Linked DNA regions of Bombyx mori. Each later gene encodes a partner of the first gene's protein in a complex. Links are inferred from orthologs where the notes say so. Each region holds a gene or a part of one and is shown in the gene's direction. Other genes may lie near its edges.

Region 1 (6,824 bases):
TTTTATAATAATTCCAGTAATTTTCAATTGCTAATTAACACTAAAATATATCTCAAAAGTTAGTTTTTTAAATTTTACACTGCTTTAGAAAAGAATGAGTTTTTTTTCAGTTCCTGAACATTTTACATTTTCCGAGATGTGCCCTTTCGAAATTGCATATTCAGTTACAATGGCTGCCCACCCTTCAAACCGAAACGCATTACTGCTTCACGGCTGAAATAGGCAGGGTGGTGATACCTACCCGTGCGGACTCACAAGAGGTCCTACCACCAGTAAATAGATACCTTGTTCAGGCACCAGGTCGGAGTCTTCATTACCGGCTGCCCTGCAAACCGGTTCTTATGACACAGCATCTGTCACAGGTTCCTCGTGACGATTCGTTGTGTGTTTCAGCAGGTCTGAGTTACATCACCCAGAATCTGCCGAGCAATATGATGCAGAAGACTATAATAATCGTTCAGGGTCCAGCCGGGGGTGGACCGCTGACGCTCACGGTAAGCTTGAAACACATCAGCATGATCAATTATTGGTGTCAGCAAAAATGTCATAAGTACAAAACAAAACTTTTTAATTATGTACGTTTGTATATGATAATGACACGAGATGATAAAATTCATGTGGAATTAAATATGCTTCACATGTCTCCATGTAGAATTTATCAAAATTTAATGTCAACTGAATGCCGTGTGCGTTTTGTACTTAGGGCTGTCACGAACCAATTTAAGGGTCACGTGTTTGTCGATTTTTAAATTCTGATCAATCATCTGATATAATCAGCATTAGAGCATTAATTTCTCTGGATATATTAGGAAATTCAAATTTGTTCAAATTTGTTGTAAAGTAATTTTATGTCGGGGCACATAGACATCGCAAAAAGAATAACATCGTTAAACTTGTCATATGAAAATTAAGCCTTATCGGTATTAGGATAGCGGCTATTTTGCTCTTATATAAAGGACGAACGTGCTTATGTTTGTAGTTACAAAACCCGAATGTTCAATAGTTACAGTTAACCAATTTAAAAGGATAATTAAATTTTCATATGTAAGGTGAACAACCCTGGCGGCTTGGACGAAGGCACGCTAAACAGTCTAATAGCGCAAGCGACCGAAGCATTGACTCAACAACAAATAATACAGGTTAAAAAATAAAACATGACCAAAAAGTATCGCTAGTACTAATTTCTGTTGTCTATGGGTTCTCATTCGTTCATGCTAATCGTTCATTTTCCTTTTTGTTTTTAAAGTATATATATTTTTTTACAAATTTACATGTAATAACAGCGTTGTATTAACAAAATCTATTCATGTCATAATGCTTTTACTAATTTTCGATAAGATCACCTCTCCTTGGCTTGGTACTGTGCCAGCGATGTTTGGTATTCGTTTGGCTGTATGTCTGTGTATCCTGTGCCGGTGAAGAAGCTAACGTCAAGCTCGAGCCCGTTAAATGTGTGTTTAAATAACAATAATTTTCATTATAATCGAGTTATCATCTGTTGGGTCTGATATTAGTATAATTACAAACAATGTACAGTTTGCAACATTGATGAACTGTGTAATATTATGAATATATTTATTTGATAGTAGTATAGTCAGAAACACAAAATAAATATTTATCTTTATTTAATTAAAGATTTAAGCCAGTAAAAGACTTGAAAAATTCTATGCGTTTCCTCTAACGTAAATCATATTTCATTCATTTCTCATCTGCAAATATCATCGTTTTCTTCTTGATTTTATTCATCAGTTGGTTTCATTTATGGTTGCAGGATTTAAATGATTTTGTGCTTAATTAAAGTTGTGCGACTGGAAAATGAGCTCTATAACACAGTAAAAAGTGACTAAATTTTATTGCGCTACATCAAAATAGAGAGAGAGAGAGAGCTCAAATTTTAAACAAATTCAGATATAAATAAAAGAATATTTTTTTATTTGGCATTATTAAGTTGGCATTGTTCCGACAGAGATCTATAATTTACTGTCTAAAGTTTAAAAAACACTCGTATGGTATTAAATTCTGATGAGTTCTTTGATATTTTGAAGTCAACATGACTCGAAATTATGCATCAAAGTATTTTATACCCTAATTTTATAGAAATAAAGTATAATTTTGAACGTACAGAATACTGGAGTGATACAGTCGACCCAGAGGGTTATTGTCAGTCAGCCAACACTAGTGAGCACTTCACAGCCGATAACCGTTGTGAAGACTGCCATTGCTCAGGTTCATGCATCATTTGATATTCTTAATTATGCATCCATTAGAATGGTTAAAAAAAAAGAGTACTAAAAATATAGTTATCCTGCTCTCGCATGAAGTTGAATGTAAAAGTGCGAGCAGGACAGAGTGCTAAGTGAAAAAGTAGCTTCTAGAACATGTTGCGTCTTTCAGAATGAAGGGTTAAGGTAGAATTTTGCTTTGATTCTCATTAGGCAATAGATGAATTGTAATCTAAGTGTTTTTGATGTTCCTAATTTCCATTGTATCAAATTCGCGTATATCTTGGTTTTGTGCATGAAACGAAAGCTTTTTATTAAATGTGTAGATGAAAGTTTTTTTTTTTACTTAAAATATTTGAAGGCATGTCATGTTTCTGGGGGAAAAAAAGTTAATATCCTGAATTTGTATTCATTTAGATACGGTTTTCATTTACTGGTGATTTTGCTTCTTAGTATTCTAATTATCGAAATCAAACGGCTTTGTATCAATTATTTGAAAATTTCGTAAATGAAAAATGTTTTATTTCTCTAACGCCTCCCCTAAACTTACAGAACGCCCCTCAAATAACTCCAAGCCAGCAACCGATAATAACGACCCAACCGCAGCCCCACAAGGCTCAAATCGTTAGTCAACCTCAAGCGCAACAGATAGTTGTGACCCAGAAGCAACCTCCCACTCTTATCACCACGTCGACCAGCAACCAAATGATGCAGGGCACCCAGCAACTGATTCAGGGGAACCAGCAATTGCTCCAAGGGGGGCAACAGCTTATATCGGTGTCGAACAACCAGCCCGTGCTGATGAGTGCACCGCTGAAGGCGAACGTTCACAGAGTCGTGCAACCTCAGAGGAGTCAAGTCGTGAACCAACCGATGGCGACTCCGGCATCCGTTGTGCAGACTGACACCAAGAATACAGTCATTCAGAGCGGCGCGGTAAGTTCTAGAGACAATTAGTTCCTTTTCTAATTTTTATTTATTTATTTTGTTCATTCCATTCAATACAAAGTCAGGCTTACAGTTTGCACCAAAACGCCTAACTCGTTAACATAAAAAACATTATTAAAATTATTAAGTATTATTATTATGCTAAAGATAACATTATTTTGGAAAAAAGTATTCCCCAACTATCGGCAAACACGTCAGCATCCTGGATTTCGGACAGAAATTTGTTGAACAGCGCGATTGCCCTGGCCTACCTCTACGGCATGTAGCTCTAATGCATTTAGATTCAATCTCACGAAGCATCTTCTGATAAGCGGCTATCAGCGTCTATAGACATTGTAAAGCGATTGCCCTCTACCTCAATACATGAAGTCGAAGTCTGAATTGTGTTCTCACAAATGTTCGATGCTTTAAAACCGAACGCATAACTGCTTCTTTTTTTTTTTGAGGGATTTTATGACCTGGTTGGTAACTACGACCTTTAGGTCATGTCTTATAATAATTAATATTCTTATTTTTATGAAAAATTATAATATGGAGTGAAATGGAATGAATATGATTCATTTGAGAGATGATATGGGATGAAATATAATCTCAGTAAAATGATGGTCATTTACGGAGATTTTTTCAGTGGACTTTCTGGAGGATCCCGAGAAGCTACGTCCAGCGGCTTTGTTTCATTTTCCCACATTTGTGCACTTTCACAAATATTAAACAGTTAATTAACCACTGTTATTACACATTTAAACCCGAAGAAACACTAAATAGATAACATAAAACAAATCACACAACTTTACTCGTCGCGTTCCCGCCAAAAAGTCGCATAACTGCTTCGTTCGAGATAGATATGTAGTGATGTACCCGCGCGCGGGTGGGTACTTTACTGCCGCGAAGCAGTAATACTTTCCGATTCGAAGGGTGGGGCAGCCATTGTGCTGTAAAACTGAAAATTAGAACTGGTGGGTGACGGTATTTACTTTGTAGTCGTCTTCGGGCTCCGGTAAATCATTAGCATCGGCTAAACTGTCAGTTCGTTCACCCATTTAGAAGCAATACAAAATAATATAAAACAATAATTGCACCGAACTGTGCGGGCCCACACATTACTGCTATTAATTACGCAAACTCGCATTTTTTTGTGGGTTTGTGTTTATAGAAAGCCTTTGATCTGTGGATTTAGTGCGAGTTTTGTTAACATTCCCGATAGCGTAAAAGTTAACTCAAATTTGTATGGAATTGGAACACCGCCTCTAGTGGCAAACGTAGGCAAACGTTCCAACTCCATACAAATTTATGTTAACTTTTACGCTATCGAGAACGTTAAAGAACTCGCACTAAGCTCACTATATCTAGAAGTAAGTAATATCTCGGTAAACTATGATACGTTAACCATAATTATAGTATATTAGCTGTACCCGTCTGCTTCGTTGGGCATTTAAATTTAGCATTATTATTTTTCACCCCCACAAAAATTGTCATCATTAACGCCCCCGCAACTGGTGTAGGGTATCCAACACTCATATAAATATTAGCATTTCCATTAAGTACATGTATTTTCTACATGGATACCAAGTTTCAAGTCAATCGGATGCATGGTTATAACGGAACATCCGTAAAAACCAATGTAGATTTATATATTAGTATAGATGTTAGGACAGGGAGAAATAAATTAAATATTATTTTTTTATTTACAGAAAGTCCAGGCACAAGCAATGAGGCAGGTGATCACCCGGCAACCGGTGATGGTTGGCAACACGAAGATCGGCGATAAGGAGCTAGTTGTGACGCAGCCGGTAACTCCCGAGGTATCACGACATTTTAACAGACTTTCAAAAAGAAAGTTTCTCAATTCGGCTAGGTCAGGGGTTCCCAAACTTATTTTGTCTACTGCCCACTTTGAGAATAAATTATTTTAAGCGACCCCATTTTTTTCACCTATTTAAAAACCACTATAGGGAGAGCTCGTCGGTGTCTGGGAGTCCTCCTAGATAAAATTATAAATCACCTCCCAAGCCCCTACACAACGCCCCCGTTTTTTTTCTGGGTCTCTTACCGCCACCCTTTAGGCCTGCAGCGCCCACACGAGGATGTTATCGCCCACTTTGGGAAAGGCTGGTCTAGGTGGTCCAATTTTGATAGCTCTTCTTTAAATCGTTGTGCTTGTTCTTCACATGCAGTCACATTTAAATTTTATCAAAATTCAACTGGTAGTTTTTGAGTTACCCTCAATAATGCATATTTCAACTATATTGATGGTGTTGTCATTTTGACAAAATCTGTTTTAATTTTCTATTTGTGTCTTAAAGTAATTATTTATTTCGCATATGAGTTTTCAAAACGAATGTTGATTAATGAGAAATTTATTTATTAGCTAGCTTATTGGTCCTCACAACAATTATTCCATCATTGTTCCGGTTAGCCACAATAGCACTTTTCTACTATTTTTTATCATCTTATCTATTACTTCTATTTTATCAATTCGAACGAAAATACGTGTTTATATGAAGAGCGATCTGAAGTAGTCCATTGCGGCTCGACAAGTGGTACTTATCGGTTGCAATTTGTTTAATTCTTCGCTAATTACTAATTAAATCTAATCAGTCGCCGTGTAACAATAAGGTCGATTTTCAAATACCACGAAAAGCCGCTCCGGGTTTTCGTTCAGTAGCGTTTATCGTAATTTCTAGAAGAGTGTAACGCCGAAACCGCCCAAGTCGACGGCGACTCCGCCTCCCCCGCCGCCGCCGCCGCCGTGTCCGCGCACGCCTCCCTCCACGCACGACCCCGACACACCTTGGATCTGCCACTGGAGTGGATGCGGCAAGTGAGTTATCTACAATAATAATTCCATGTCCTTGAAAATATCTTATACTAATATATATAAATCTACAGTGGTTTTTACGGATGTTTCGTTATAACTACTGAACCATGCATCCGACTGACTTGAAACTTGTTATGCATGAAGAAAATACATGTACTTAATGGATAAGCTAATATTTATATGAGCGTTGGACTCTCTACACCAGTTGCGGGGGTGTTAATGATGAGAATCTTTGGGGGGGGGGGGGGGGTGAGAAATAATAATCTTAATTTTAAATGGCCAGCAAAGCGGACGGGTACAGTTAGTTATATAATAAAATTATAGAGGTAAATGTTAAAACTCCAATTGTTCCTACTTTTTTTTTAACCGTTAAATGTAATGTGTAATGACTGATTCGATAACTTTATTTCGTCATAGAAAAAATGTAATTAATAAGTAAATTTTAAAATCGATTTCAAAAGTGCTTAACAAATAACGATACGTTTTAAATCGATTTTAATTTAATATTTTACTAAATTGCGTTTATCGTAGAACGTTCGCGAACGCATCGGAAGTGTTCGTGCACGCGGCGCGGCGGCACTGCCCGGGTGGCGCGGGGGGCGAAGCGCCGTGTCTGTGGCTGGACTGCGACCGCGTGCCGAGGAAGACCTTCGCGCTACTCAACCATCTCACAGACAAGCACTGTACCGTGGCGGTCAGTATATTCATATTCTTACGCACGGGTAGGTACCACCACCCTGTCTATTTCTGCCGCGGAGCAGTAATACGTTTCGCTTTGAAGGGAAGTCGTTGTAACTATACTGAGACCGTAGAATTCAGCGAGGCAGCCGTGGTAC
Region 2 (6,824 bases), on another chromosome or scaffold:
TTTGATTTTTATTACACGATGTTATTCCTTCACCGTGGAAGTCAATCGTGAACATTTGTTGAGTACGTATTTCATTAGAAAAATTGGTACCCGCCTGCGGGATTCGAACACCGGTGCATCGCTACACACGAATGCACCGGACGTCTTATCCTTTAGGCCACGACGACTTTTTTTATTGCCCTTGTAGGCAGACGAGCGCACGGCCCACCTGATGGTGAGTGGTTACCGTTGCCCATGGACTTCAGCAATGCCAGGGGCAGAGCCAAGCCGCTGCCTACCGCTTAATAATCTCCACAAGCCTCGTTTGAAGAAGGACATGTCATAGCGCTCGGGAAACACCGTGGAGGGGAGCTCATTCCATTGCCGGAATTTTAATTTAATTTTAGTGCTTCAAGTAGGTAGACGAACTCACCAACTTGCTGCGAAGTGCCAATAAATAAATTCTTCCTGTTCCACCATTCATCCGTTTAAAAAAAGTGGTCTCTGTGATTACAGCCAACCGCCAGCTGGCCCTGATCTTCATGAAGCTACCCAGTAAAACTGAGTACCCTGATTATTATGAGCTCATCAAGAACCCGATAGACATGGAGAAGATTGCTCACAAATTGAAGAGCAACAGTTACAGTTCAGTTAACGAGCTGGCTTCGGATTTCATACTGATGTTCGATAACGCCTGCAAGTACAATGAGCCCGACTCGCAGATCTACAAGGACGCTTTGATACTGCACAGAGTCTGTCTGCAGACCAAGCAGATGTTAAGGTAAAGTCTTATAAGTTTTAGCAATTAGTAAGCTTCATGATTAACGTACCTAGGTATGTCGAATTTATACTGCCAAATTGAATAAATCAAAGTTATAAAAGGGAGTAACATAATAACGTTTCATATATAGACACTAGACTGTGCCAGCGGCTTCTTTCACTTTTACATTTATAATATTAAACTACGCAGAGTGCACCTACATGAAAAACATACATTTTTTTCCTACTTGACATTTTTTTAAGCCAGTACTTGAGTATAATGATATCCTTGTATTGAGGTAGCAAATATTTATGATTGAAAAATAGAAAAATTATTAGAGTAGACAATTATTAAGTAAAATAGGTATGTAGGCTTTTCTGTTAAATAATTTTGTTCCCTGACATGACAGCTTACTAGGGTTAACAAAATTTTTGTCTTTGATAATTAATTATATTTTTTACGGAGTATTTTGTAACACGTTGTATACATATATGAGCATTAAAACTTAAATTGAATAAATGTACAAAAATATTTCCGTCAACAGTCAAGACGACGATGCAGTGCCCGACGTTCCAGCCGCTGTCCAAGAACTATTATTGAATCTCTTTACCACAGTATACAATCATCAAGATGAAGAGGGGAGGTGAGAATAGTCGTTAAAACCAAATGTTTAATGGTAGGAAACTTGTATCGTTATATCAGATTTACTACAAAACTAAAATGATTGGGAGGAAATTCAGTACGCTGAATATTTAATCACTCATCATCTTAATTATTCTTGATCTTCTTATACATCTTCTTAATTATTTTTGACACTTTTGATAATATTTATACTGTCTTTTTTACTAATATTTTGTATATGTACATTATAAAATATATTTCATGTGTCAAATCATTTTTGTAATATTTTTGATTAATCTTCTCTATTCTGATCTGATCTTCTAAATTGCCTAAGTTCTAAATTAAATTAAGTGAATGCTTCACATTAGTGAATTATTTGAAACATTAAATTTGAAGTGATATTTTCTCAATTTGTCACTTGAACACTGATTTTTGTTTTATTTTATTGATTTTCAGTAATATTTCAGTGTAATAATGAATTCTATTTTGAAAATGTTCAGGTGTTACTCAGACAGCATGGCCGAGTTACCGGAACACGACGAAACAAACAATGGCGAGAAGATGCGAGCTATATCGCTGGATTTGGTCAAGAGAAGACTTGACAAAGGGCTGTACAAGAGACTGGATCATTTCCAGCAAGATATGTTTGCTGTGTTTGAAAGGTAATCAAGTAAAAAAAAAAGTATTAATTAATCTAATTTATCTGTAAGCTGCACCGCTCGTAACGTACTGCTGTTAAATGAACAGCGGTGTCTATAGATACCACAACATGACCGTCATTAACCTATACACATGAAGTAGAAATCTGGTTTATTGGTGGCAGCACCTCTTGTGAGTCCGCACGGGTAGGTACCACCACCCTGCCTATTTCTGCCGTGAAGCAGTAATGCGTTTCTGTTTGAAGGGTGGGGCAGCCGTTGTAACTATACTGAGACCTTAGAACATATATCTCAAGGTGTGTAGCGCATTTACATTGTTGATGTCTATGGACTCCAGTAACCACTTAACACCAGGTGGGCTGTGAGCTCGCCCACACATCTAAGCAATAAAAAAATAGCGGTGTCCACAGACATCACAACATGACCGTCACTCACCTATACACATGGAGTAGAAATCTAAACTGCATTATATACAGCCGCGCCGGACTATGAATCAGAATGCAGGCTGTTTTCGCCAGAAACAAGCAGTGGTATTGTGCTATCTAAAATCTGTTTTTGAACATTTTCGCAGAGCACGTCGCCTCTCCCGTACAGATAGTCAAATTTTCGAAGACTCAGTCGAGCTGCAGTGCTACTACATAGAGCAGAGGGACGCGCTGTGCCGCGGCACGCTGCAGTCGCCGGCGCTCACCTTCACGCGCGACACCGTCTCCACCAGCGTCGAGCTCATCAAGCAGTGCAAGCTGCTGCAAGAGAACGACGATGAGGATGAAACTAGGTAACTCCTAGTAGTTCCTGTAGCGGGCGGGGTCGTTTTTTTTTAGGAGATTTGTGACCTGGTAACTAAGACCTTTTAGTCAAGTCTTATTTTAATTTATATTCTTATTTTTATGAAAAATGATAATAGAAATTAAATTAAATGAGATGAGATGATATGGAATGAAATATAATCGCAGTAAAATGATGGTTATTTATTACTGAGATTTTTTCAGCGGGCTTTTTGGAGGATCTCGAGAAGCTACGTCCAGCGGCTTTGTTCCATTTTCCTAAATTTGTCCACTTTCACATATATTAAACAGTTAATAAACCACTAAATAGACAAAATAAAACAAAATACACAACTTCACTACTTGCGTTCCTGCCAAAAAGTCCTCGGGGTCGATCGTCTACGCACTAGCTCTACACGTCGTTATCGTAATATAATAGACTAAAAAAATATTGAAACTTATAAATTAATAATCGATTTTAAATAATTATAAATTTTGGAGAGTATTATATGGTAATATTTTATGGTAATACATAATTATAAGGTTATCTGTCGGTGCTGCCCTTCAAAAAGAATAAATGACAGTTATTGCAAATCATGAATATAGTTCTAAGTTCTTGAATGTATTATAAATATGAAATAAATAAATTGAAAAAAGAAATTTAGAAAAAAACAATTCGGTAAACATTTTTAATATCTGTTGTGAACAAGAATATTACCTAAATTGCCTAAACACATAATCTTATTAAACACAATACTTTAAAATTTACTGCTTTAATGCTTAATTGTTATTTGTATAATCAGACATTTCTGTCAGCTACTATGTAGTCTAGTCAACAAGTTCAAAAACGTGTTAAATAGACATAAAGCTCCTAAAAATATGTACGATAGCTCATTGGATGCGGAATGATGTCTACAAAAATGTTTTTAAGGGCTTTATTAGCACATAAAAAATTGCGATTGTTATAAACAAAATAAGATTTAAAAAAAAAGGAATTTGATTTTTCCTTAATAATTTCTAAAATAATGATATTTAAGGAATTTTGAAAAAAGATCCTGAAAGAGGAGGAAATTTCCAATAAAAAAGTCCCAACTCCCGGAATTCTATCTCTATTATTTATAAAAAAAATATAACGCTGAAAATAGCGCTCCGCGAGGTCGCTACGGCATAGGCGCGCAGTCTAAAAAGCCGGTATATCACCTAAAATATTTTTTTTATAGTATTAAATAACAATTTAAAAATTTGAATAATTTATGGTGTAATCTAAACACTTGAAGGAAAAAAACCTCGGTGAAAAAAAAATTTTACATCGATTTTTCAAAAATTTACACCATTGTTAATTAACTAACTTTTTTCCAATCTCTGTTTTTATAAATTACGGTATAAAAGTTACAATAATTCATCTATAAATTTTTCCCTTCGTGGAGCTCTTATCATTTAAGTACTTAATAAAGTTAAGCAAAAAAAAATTTTTAATCTTTATTATTTTGATAATTATAATTTTTTTTAATTAACAAAAAATTTAATTTCTAAAAAATGTTATGAAAAAATTTTTTTTTTCGTGTTATCTTAATATTGCTGTTTTTGCATCTACCATAGGTTTTAATTAACATTTAAAAAAAAATTTTTACGCTATTTGTTAAGAAATTGTTTATAAATAAATAGACTATTTTGGGATTAAAAAAAAAAAAGAATTACCGTCTTATTCTATAGGTGACATAAAGATTTAGAAAAAAAAAAATTCTTAAATAAATGTTTTAATTGTTTAAAATCGTTTTTTTCATATTTCAATTGTTTAAATAATTAGTTAAGAAATTATTTTTTTCTTAAAAATCATCATTGACTCTTTTCAGCGGATTAACAAAGAAATACATTTTTTTATAAATAATTTCATTGTTTATTAACTTAACAATTTGTTATAAAAAATTAATATTAATCGTTATATTTTTTTTCGAAAACTACAAAAAATTATAAAAACAACCATACATAACAAAATAAAGAAAAAAAAATTTTGTATTTTTTACAGCATTTTTAGATATTATATGATAATGAAATTACAGCCGTTACATAATTTGTCAAGTTATAAATTGTTATAACTTTTAAACTATAAGAGATACGGTAAAGGACACTCAGGTCATTTTTATAAAGGATTTATTTATCTTTAAAATAAATTCAAAATCGATCCTGTAACTATTGTTTATCAGTTATAAGCATTTGTTTATAAAAAATTATGATTTCTTTGATATTTTTTGAAATTTCATGATTAAAGATTAAAACAAATTTTTTGCTTAACTTTATTAAGTACTTAAATGATAAGAGCTCCACGAAGGGAAAAATTTATAGATGAATTATTGTAACTTTTATACCGTAATTTATAAAAACAGAGATTGGAAAAAAGTTAGTTAATTAACAATGGTGTAAATTTTTGAAAAATCGATGTAAAGTTTTTTTTTCACCGAGGTTTTTTTCCTTCAAGTGTTTAGATTACACCATAATTTATTCAAATTTTTAAATTGTTATTTAATACTATAAAAAAAATATTTTAGGTGATATACCGGCTTTTTAGACTGCGCGCCTATGCCGTAGCGACCTCGCGGAGCGCTATTTTCAGCGTTATTTTTTTTTTATAAATAATAGAGATAGAATTCCGGGAGTTGGGACTTTTTTATTGGAAATTTCCTCCTCTTTCAGGATCTTTTTTCAAAATTCCTTAAATATCATTATTTTAGAAATTATTAAGGAAAAACCAAATTCCTTTTTTTAAAATCTTATTTTGTTTATAACAATCGCAATTTTTTATGTGCTAATAAGCCCTTAAAAAACATTTTTGTAGACATCATTCCGCATCCAATGAGCTATCGTACATATTTTTAGGAGCTTTATGTCTATTTAACACGTTTTTGAACTTGTTGACTAGACTAATGTATAAGATTAGAATCTTCTTTTTCTCCACCTTATCCCACTATGTGGGGTAGGCACAGCTAATTTTTCTCTTCCATTCTCTTCTATCAGCCGTCATCTCAACACTCACTCCTCTCTCTCTCATATCGTCATTCACACACTCCATCCATGTCTTCTTCGGTCGACCTCTTCCCCTTTCTTTGTATAAGATTAGAATATTAAAAAAAAAAAATTGAGATAAGTGACATCATTCCTTCTGGACACAAAAATATTTGCTTTCTCTAGATCGAGTACGGATGACTCCATGCCGTCGGGTGATACCAATCTTCAATCTCAGTACAGGAAAGGTGATTTCCTGTACATCCAACCTGAGAAGGGCAATAAAGACTTCAATATTGTTCAAGTAGAAAGACTTTGGACTAACAGCGATGGTATAACTATGCTGTATTGCAACATGTACTTTAGGTAAGGATTTGTAAACGTTAATAATAATATACTTATAACCATTATGAATGTACAAGGTAAAAACGATCATAATAATAGTGTACTAAAATAAAAATTACTTTAATTTGAAGAATGGGTATGTGCCTATTTAAAAAAAAAGGAAAATTCATAAAGTTGCTTTTGAATGCACGGAAAGAAATAAAACATTTTGCACTGTTCAAACTGCTACAACTAACGCACTATTGTTTTGACTTATAATAAATCTTACAAGAATGTTTACAAACTAAACGATTATTGATTTCCTTCAGTCCTATTAATATTTTTGCTGCAAAATTAAACTATTTTTTAACTGTGCAGACCTCAAGAGACATTCCACATCAGAACCCGAAAGTTCCTCCAACAAGAAGTGTTCAAAACGGATGTGTACAAACCTGTGCCCCTGGACCGCGTCGTGGGACCTTGCTACGTTATGAACGTGAAGGAATATTTCAAGTTTAGACCTGAAGGTGATCCTCTTGTGAACCAACATCTGATTTCGTAGTTCATTAATATGCACAATACTTCACAACACAATGGCCCGTCTGTAATGAAAACAAGTCTCACAAATATCTAATCTTTATTTTTTATTTTGTATAGGCTACGCTGACAAAGACGTCTACGTCTGCGAGAGTCGGTACAGCACGAAGCACAGGT
Region 3 (6,824 bases), on another chromosome or scaffold:
ATATTGAATAAGTAAACGACAGTGATTGCTTGCAGTGCAAATTAAAACAAGTTGTGGCACCCAATGCTGTTTCTGCTCTTATTTTTTTAGATGAGCAATGATGTATTTTCTTCAGTGTTTCTGAATTGTATAAAAAAAGGTCTAATTTCATATTTATTATATTCATTTCATTATCATTTTTCATGGCATATTAACACTGTTCTAACTACTGTAAATTGTTATGACAAAAAATTTAAATGATTAAACAATAACAGTGGTTTTAATTAAAAGCAATGCAAAATTATATTGTGGTGTCGAAAACAGCAGTTTTAACTTGAGATTTCCAGATTTTGTATTTTGATTAGTCTTATGCCCGCTTAAAAATGCAAAAAAATTAACTATTGCCTTAGGTCGGGAATTACCTGCGCTTGTTCCGTGGGTCACTCTACAAGAAGTACCCTGGCATGTGCCGGCGTACCCTCACCAATGAAGAACGTAAGCGATTAATTGACAACGGTCTTGGTCCTCATGTGCTGTCCAGTTCAGTTTCACTGTTGAAGGCGTCAGAAGTTGAAGACATTATTGAAGGGAATGATGATAAGTACGTCATTATAAACATTTTGTGAACTATTGAAAGCGGTTAAAACCGACAATTGCTGTGTTAGCATAGACAGGTGAACGAGTTCATAATCCATCTGATGATAAGTGAAGCTACCTGAAGTAGTCAGTCGAAATATTAGACCTTTAAGTTTTGGTGAGCACCTGGCACTATTGAAGTCCACGAACGACATTAACCACTTACCATCAGAAGAATTGTATGTTTGTCTTATTTTAAGGACAATAAAAAAAAAAACAAAATGTGTGCATATCTTTCTTCTTCATCGCTCCCTCATTGCTGAGGATTGTGACTCTGTTTCAGCTGTGCCAGTCTCCATCGGTTCTGGTCAGTTGCTGTGTGCATATCAAGGAAATCTTAAATACTATGAATTGTATATGAAACAGCAGTTGTCCATTAAACTATTTACAGCTATGACACAGCTTTAAATTAATTTATAGATACAAAGCAGTGTCCGTCAGCCAAGAGTTGGCGACACCCCGTGAGAGCAAAAGCAAGAAGCCACACACTCCATCATGGCTGCCAGTCATGCCAAACTCTTCTCATTTGGATGCTGTACCCCAGGCTACTCCAATCAGCAGGAGTAGGGTGCATAATAAGAAGGTAAAATGGATGTTAAAGTCAAAACTTAAAGTCCAGTTGGGCTTCAGGTTCTGACTCCTAGGTTTATCTAGTTAATCATGTTTGACATGGGGCCACACTCTAAGGTCAACACAACACATTTAATTTAGCTTCTGATTCAGGATAGATAGATAAGATAGATAGAATATCTCAAAATCAGAGACACATCGTAAGATAAATAACAGATTTTGAAATGGAACATTGGAATTAATGTAATATACTATAGTTCTAAAGTATCATTATTAAAACTAGCATAAAATGAATACTTTTCAGGTGAGAACATTCCCACTGTGTTTCGATGACACAGACATGACTGCAATGCTGGAGAATGCTTCGCAAAAGCAGGTGCTTGTACCGATTCGATTGGACATGGAGATTGAGGGTCAAAAACTCAGGGATACATTTACATGGAATAAAAATGGTATGTTTAACTGCATTTGTTACCAATTCTGGTTGTTTATTCTCAATTTTTGATTTCAGAAAGTATTTGAATAATAGAATGTGTAATTGCTGTCTACCAAATTATAAATAGATTGGCTGTATTTACTGTGAATTGTATCGACTGTCAATTGAAAATATATAATAACATTTTCTTATATCTTTAACTATAACTATTCTTTATAAAGTTCTTTAATCATGCTTAATGAAAATTGTTGGTCTGCAGTAAGTGTTGAAGATCAGGAGGACCTTGTCCAACTGTCTTGGATCACAGAACAGTTCCAATGCGCCCTGCAAATTTGGTTAAAATATTTTTAATGTTTTATCGTTTTCATTCTATATTGTTCTTTTAGCACAACCCTTACATAAATTTAGGAATACGCTCCTTAATTTTTATATCCATAATGTGTATGTTCCCACTTTTTTTTCCTGCCTAAGCTGATAGCCTTGAGAGGCTATATCAGCGTTGCCTTAACTAGTAGGTGAGCTCACGGGGCTCAAACGTGATGACGTTGTTAACACGAACGCTAGCAAGAGCCGTGTGCTTCGCAGAATCTACCACCAGATCGGAAACGCGACCCACTGAGAAGATCCGGCGAGAAACTCAGTGGGCTGTGTCTGAGGCTTTTTCTCACAAGGATTGCAGGCAGCCTATTAACAAGTTTTTGAATAAATAAAAAATTGGAGGATTGTTTTCCAGAATCAATAATAACACCAGAACAGTTTGCCGAGGTGCTGTGCGATGATTTAGAGTTGAACACGAGCACCTTCATACCTGCTGTGGCCTCCTCGATCCGGCAACAGATCGATGCCTTCCCGAGCGAGCCTCCCCCCATACTGGAGGAGCATACCGACCAGAGGGTCCTCGTCAAACTCAATATACACGTTGGAAACACTTCGTTGGTAGATCAGGTAGGTTCAAGTTACAAAGAAAACTCAAATAATTAATATAGAAGATGTAATTGACATGTGTAATAAGTAGAGGTCGGAGTAGGTAGATTGATTTAAGGTCGTTGACGTCAAACGTAGAAGATAATATGGATACGCCTCCAAAATACCGGAACTTCATATTTATTGTGATATTTGTTCCGGAATTTTGAAATTAGCTGGAATCTGTGTTTGAGGTGAAAAACGCGTTAATAATATTAATCTACGCTACCAGTTGTGGCGGGTAGCCATCATACAACGCAAGATAATTGACAGATGCCTGAATCTCGCTTACGACATTTTCAAGATAAAGCGCATATATACAAGTTCCGAACAACAACATTTGGACCGTCGGTCTACCGAGCAATATCATCTGCTCGGTGGAAGATCTTCCCTTTGTCGTATATATCCCTACACAGTCTTAGCTAATGGTGAAAGAAATCTGTATTTTATTTTATACAAAAACACCTTGGAATATATTTTGTCCCTTTCTGTTGACTTAGAAATGACGCTTGTCAGTATGAGACAAAATTTAGACAGGGCTTTTTGTTACTTTATCTCATAAATAAAGAAATTGTATCCGATGAGGCTTAAAAATGTTTTTTTTTCCATTAAAAAAAAAACCATTATGGATAAAATGACATGTCCATATTGTAATATCTTGACACAAGTATATAAAATCAATCTACCTACTCCAACCACTGGTAATGAGTGTGAATGTTTACTCACAACACAATAAATCATTGCTCACATGGAAAAGCGAATGAGAATTTGACATTTGAATATTTTTAGTAATTTTAAAATTTAAAGTTATTTTTTATTGCACAAATGGTTGGACGAGCTCATAGTTCACCTGGTGTTAAGTGGTTACTGAAGCCCATAAACATCTACAACGTAGATGTCGCCACCCACCTTGAGATATGAGTTCTAAGGCCACAGTATAGTCACAACGACTATCCCACTTTTCAAACCGAAACGCATTATTGCTTCACGGCAGAAATAGGCGGGGTGGTGGTACCTAACCGCGCGGAATCAAAAGGTTTTACCGTCACTAAATATTATACAAAAATTATTATTCAATATAATAAAGGGACTAGCGGACTCGACAGACGTCCTGCAAAATTCATTCAAGTCGATCCAGCCGTTTAGTTGTAGTATAGATAAATAACCTAGATACCGCCTGTAGCGCCATCTGCCGGGCTGATTTGTGAATCTAAACCATCCAGGGTGCCACCCAAACGCATACAAAAAAAACATTCAAATCGGTCCAGCCGTTTAGGAGGAGCTCAGTGACATACACACGCATAGAAGAAATCTATAAGTCTATACTAATATATAAATCTACAGTGGTTTTTACGGATGTTCCGTTATAACTACTGAACCATACATCCGATTGACTTGAAACTTGGTATCCATGTAGAAAATACATGTACTTAATGGATAGGCTAATATTTATATGAGTGTTGGACTCCCTACACCAGTTGGGGGCGTTAATGATGAGAATCTTTGGGGGGGTGAGAAATAATAATGTTAATTTTAAATAGCCAGCGAAGCGGTCGGGTACAGCTAGTATATATATATATATATACACTTTATATATAAAGATTACGCTGGATATTTGCTATTTGGTATTGAATGTGTGTCTGGTGTACCAGGTGGAGTGGGACATGGCCGAGAAGGAGAACAACCCGGAGCAGTTCGCGATGAAGCTGTGCTCGGAGCTGGGCCTCGGCGGGGAGTTCGTGACCGGCATCGCGTACTCCGTGCGCGGGCAGCTCGGCTGGCACCAGCGGACCTACGCCTTCAGCGAGGCGCCCCTACCCGTGGTCGAGGTGCGCACCACATACATGCTACTTTTTTTTTTCCTACCCATGCTGATAGCCTTGAGAGGCTACTTCAGCTTCTTGGAACTCTTTGGAACCTCTGGATCTGCAGAGGGACTTCGGCTCCTTCTGTATTTTGTACCGTATGTTCCGTGAGGAGTGCTCTGAGGAATTGTTTGAGATGATACAATTTTTACCGGTGGTAGGACCTCTTGTGAGTCCGCATGGGTAGGCACCACCACCCTGCCTAATTCTGTTGTGAAGCAGTAATGCGTTTCGGTTTGAAGGATGGGGCAGCCGTTGTACCTATACAGAGACCTAAGAACTTATATCTCAAGGTGTGTGGCGCATTTACCAACTCCAAAAAACCAACTCTTTTATTATTAAGTCCCCGGAGTTCGATTACCATTTGTCATTTGAACATCCTCGAATTGTCACACAGACGCCGTACCGCGTCCCGTCGGAGGCCGAGCAGTGGGCCCCGCACCTCGAGACCCTCACCAACGCGGAGATGGAGAAGAAGATCCGGGACCAGGACCGGAACACCAGGCGCATGCGGAGGCTCGCCAACACCGCGCCCGGTTGGTAACGCCACCACCACTCGCGGAGCCGCACAGGCCCCAGGGACGAGCGGAAAATGCAATCCCGGTGACTTGTAATTGAGGCAGTCAGCGCAAAAGTATCCTAAGTAGAGATGAAACGGATATCCGGTAACTATCCGGTATCCGGCCTATCCGGCCATGTTTTCACTATTTTTTCACACAAAAAGTCCCGTTGTTAAGATTTTCACATAATACATTAGCTAAGTAATCTTATACCTTTAAACGAGCAATTCTTGTATATTAATATATATATAATCTGAATATCGGAAACGGCTCCAACGATTTTCATAAAATTTAGTATACAGGGGATTTCGGGGGCGATAAATCGATCTAGCTACGATTTATTTTCAGAAAATGTTGTTTTATTCGTGTTTTCAATAATCAACTCTTCCCGACATCTATTGGCGAATAATAATCCTATTTTTTTAATTGAGGGCAACTAACCTCTTTAAAGACACTAAGATGGCGTTGTCAAAAAAAAAAACCGAGCAAAGCTCTGTCATCATCTAGTATTTTTATTATTTAAGACACCGCCTCAGTATGAGGTGAGTAGTCTGTGGGAGCAAGCAAAGGGGACATGGCTTTTTAATTGTCTTTTGTTTCAAAATACATTAAATTTCTCATTCATATCTTAGTTTAAACTGAAATGATATACTGTTTATTTAAATTAATTAGTCTACATTACATTTGCGCAGTTAAATCTAGTCTGGGAGTTAAGTTACCTAACTCGTCGGATCCAGTTGGCTTTGTTACCAAAAGTGCTTTAATGTTTGGATGTGAGACCTGGAAAATAAAGATGAAACGGATATCCGGTAACGGCCGGATAGTGAAAACATGGCCGGATACCGGATAGTAAATCACTATCCGGCCGGATTTCGGATAGTAAAATTTAAGAAAATCTCATGGCTATACAAAAGGCAATTAATACCACAATAAATAGTTTATTGGACAACTTTTATTTTTATAATCGCACGTCAAATGTGATTGTTTTATCAATTAGTTTGTTTAATACTCAAAATTAACAAGTGGTAAATTGTGGTGAATGAATACCGAATCGTCGTCGTACCGAGTCGTCGCGATCTCCGCTCACGTGCGACAACACCCGAACGCGCACGAATATTTCCGAAAGTTGATTTGTAGCTTTAATTTCATTTGATTTGAAAAAAAGGGCCGAATATTCGGTATCCAGTATCCGACCAAACCACTATCCGTTTCATCTCTAGTCCTTAGCTTATCATAGTTAGTATGGAGATAATGAGGTTGTTTACAAAGCCATCTGTTCTCTATGGGTGAGACTAGGGACAGGCCGGTTTTGCATCAAAATTTATTACCTTTTAAATAAATTACAATATATAAGCGCGAATATGACAAATTGTGGGTTAGGCCCCTTTTGCGCTGTCGGTCTCAATTTACCTCGATCCTCGCTGATGACGCGCAGGTTGTGACGTCACCAGCGAGACTCGAGTATGAACAAACAAAATGAACATCATTTTTATACTCTATTCCAATTACGAAGTCCCTTTTGACTTACCTAAACTGAGTGTCTAGAGCAGCGGTCGGGGAACTTTTTTAATTATTACCCCAAAATTTTTTTGTGTATGTTGATATTACCCCATGGCGAAGAACAAAAAAAACGAAATCGCTTCTTTTTAGCATCTTTCATATTATAGCTCTCATGAATAATAATTTGAAATCACAACGATTCTAAAGAAGTTTCACTTCAATATAATATACTTTTTACTCACAAAAGTTTCATTTTTACCCCCCATAATTTCATATTACCCCGTTTTGGGTAATTTACCCCGGTTCCCCGACCGC

Evidence for each region.
Region 2: AT-rich interactive domain-containing protein 2 (region 1) and protein polybromo-1 share a complex: the UniProt entries of both Homo sapiens proteins name them as parts of the SWI/SNF-B (PBAF) chromatin remodeling complex. The link is inferred for Bombyx mori from reciprocal best matches to the Homo sapiens genes ARID2 and PBRM1.
Region 3: AT-rich interactive domain-containing protein 2 (region 1) and SWI/SNF-related matrix-associated actin-dependent regulator of chromatin subfamily B member 1-A share a complex: the UniProt entries of both Homo sapiens proteins name them as parts of the SWI/SNF-B (PBAF) chromatin remodeling complex. The link is inferred for Bombyx mori from reciprocal best matches to the Homo sapiens genes ARID2 and SMARCB1.

What each region holds. Positions count from the first base shown.
Region 1 is NC_085120.1:8,106,332-8,113,155, forward strand, and holds part of AT-rich interactive domain-containing protein 2, read left to right. Parts: intron 1-393; coding exon 394-494; intron 495-1,049; coding exon 1,050-1,139; intron 1,140-2,124; coding exon 2,125-2,226; intron 2,227-2,774; coding exon 2,775-3,158; intron 3,159-4,861; coding exon 4,862-4,972; intron 4,973-5,854; coding exon 5,855-5,991; intron 5,992-6,519; coding exon 6,520-6,682; intron 6,683-6,824. UniProt on the Homo sapiens protein: Involved in transcriptional activation and repression of select genes by chromatin remodeling (alteration of DNA-nucleosome topology). Required for the stability of the SWI/SNF chromatin remodeling complex SWI/SNF-B (PBAF).
Region 2 is NC_085132.1:4,596,011-4,602,834, reverse strand, and holds part of protein polybromo-1, read left to right. Parts: intron 1-495; coding exon 496-760; intron 761-1,283; coding exon 1,284-1,382; intron 1,383-1,860; coding exon 1,861-2,022; intron 2,023-2,590; coding exon 2,591-2,797; intron 2,798-5,972; coding exon 5,973-6,152; intron 6,153-6,488; coding exon 6,489-6,637; intron 6,638-6,767; coding exon 6,768-6,824. UniProt on the Homo sapiens protein: Involved in transcriptional activation and repression of select genes by chromatin remodeling (alteration of DNA-nucleosome topology). Required for the stability of the SWI/SNF chromatin remodeling complex SWI/SNF-B (PBAF).
Region 3 is NC_085122.1:12,046,245-12,053,068, reverse strand, and holds part of SWI/SNF-related matrix-associated actin-dependent regulator of chromatin subfamily B member 1-A, read left to right. Parts: intron 1-389; coding exon 390-580; intron 581-1,035; coding exon 1,036-1,198; intron 1,199-1,489; coding exon 1,490-1,637; intron 1,638-2,354; coding exon 2,355-2,566; intron 2,567-4,236; coding exon 4,237-4,413; intron 4,414-4,846; coding exon 4,847-4,985; coding exon of another isoform or gene 4,986-4,993; exon of another isoform or gene 4,994-6,824.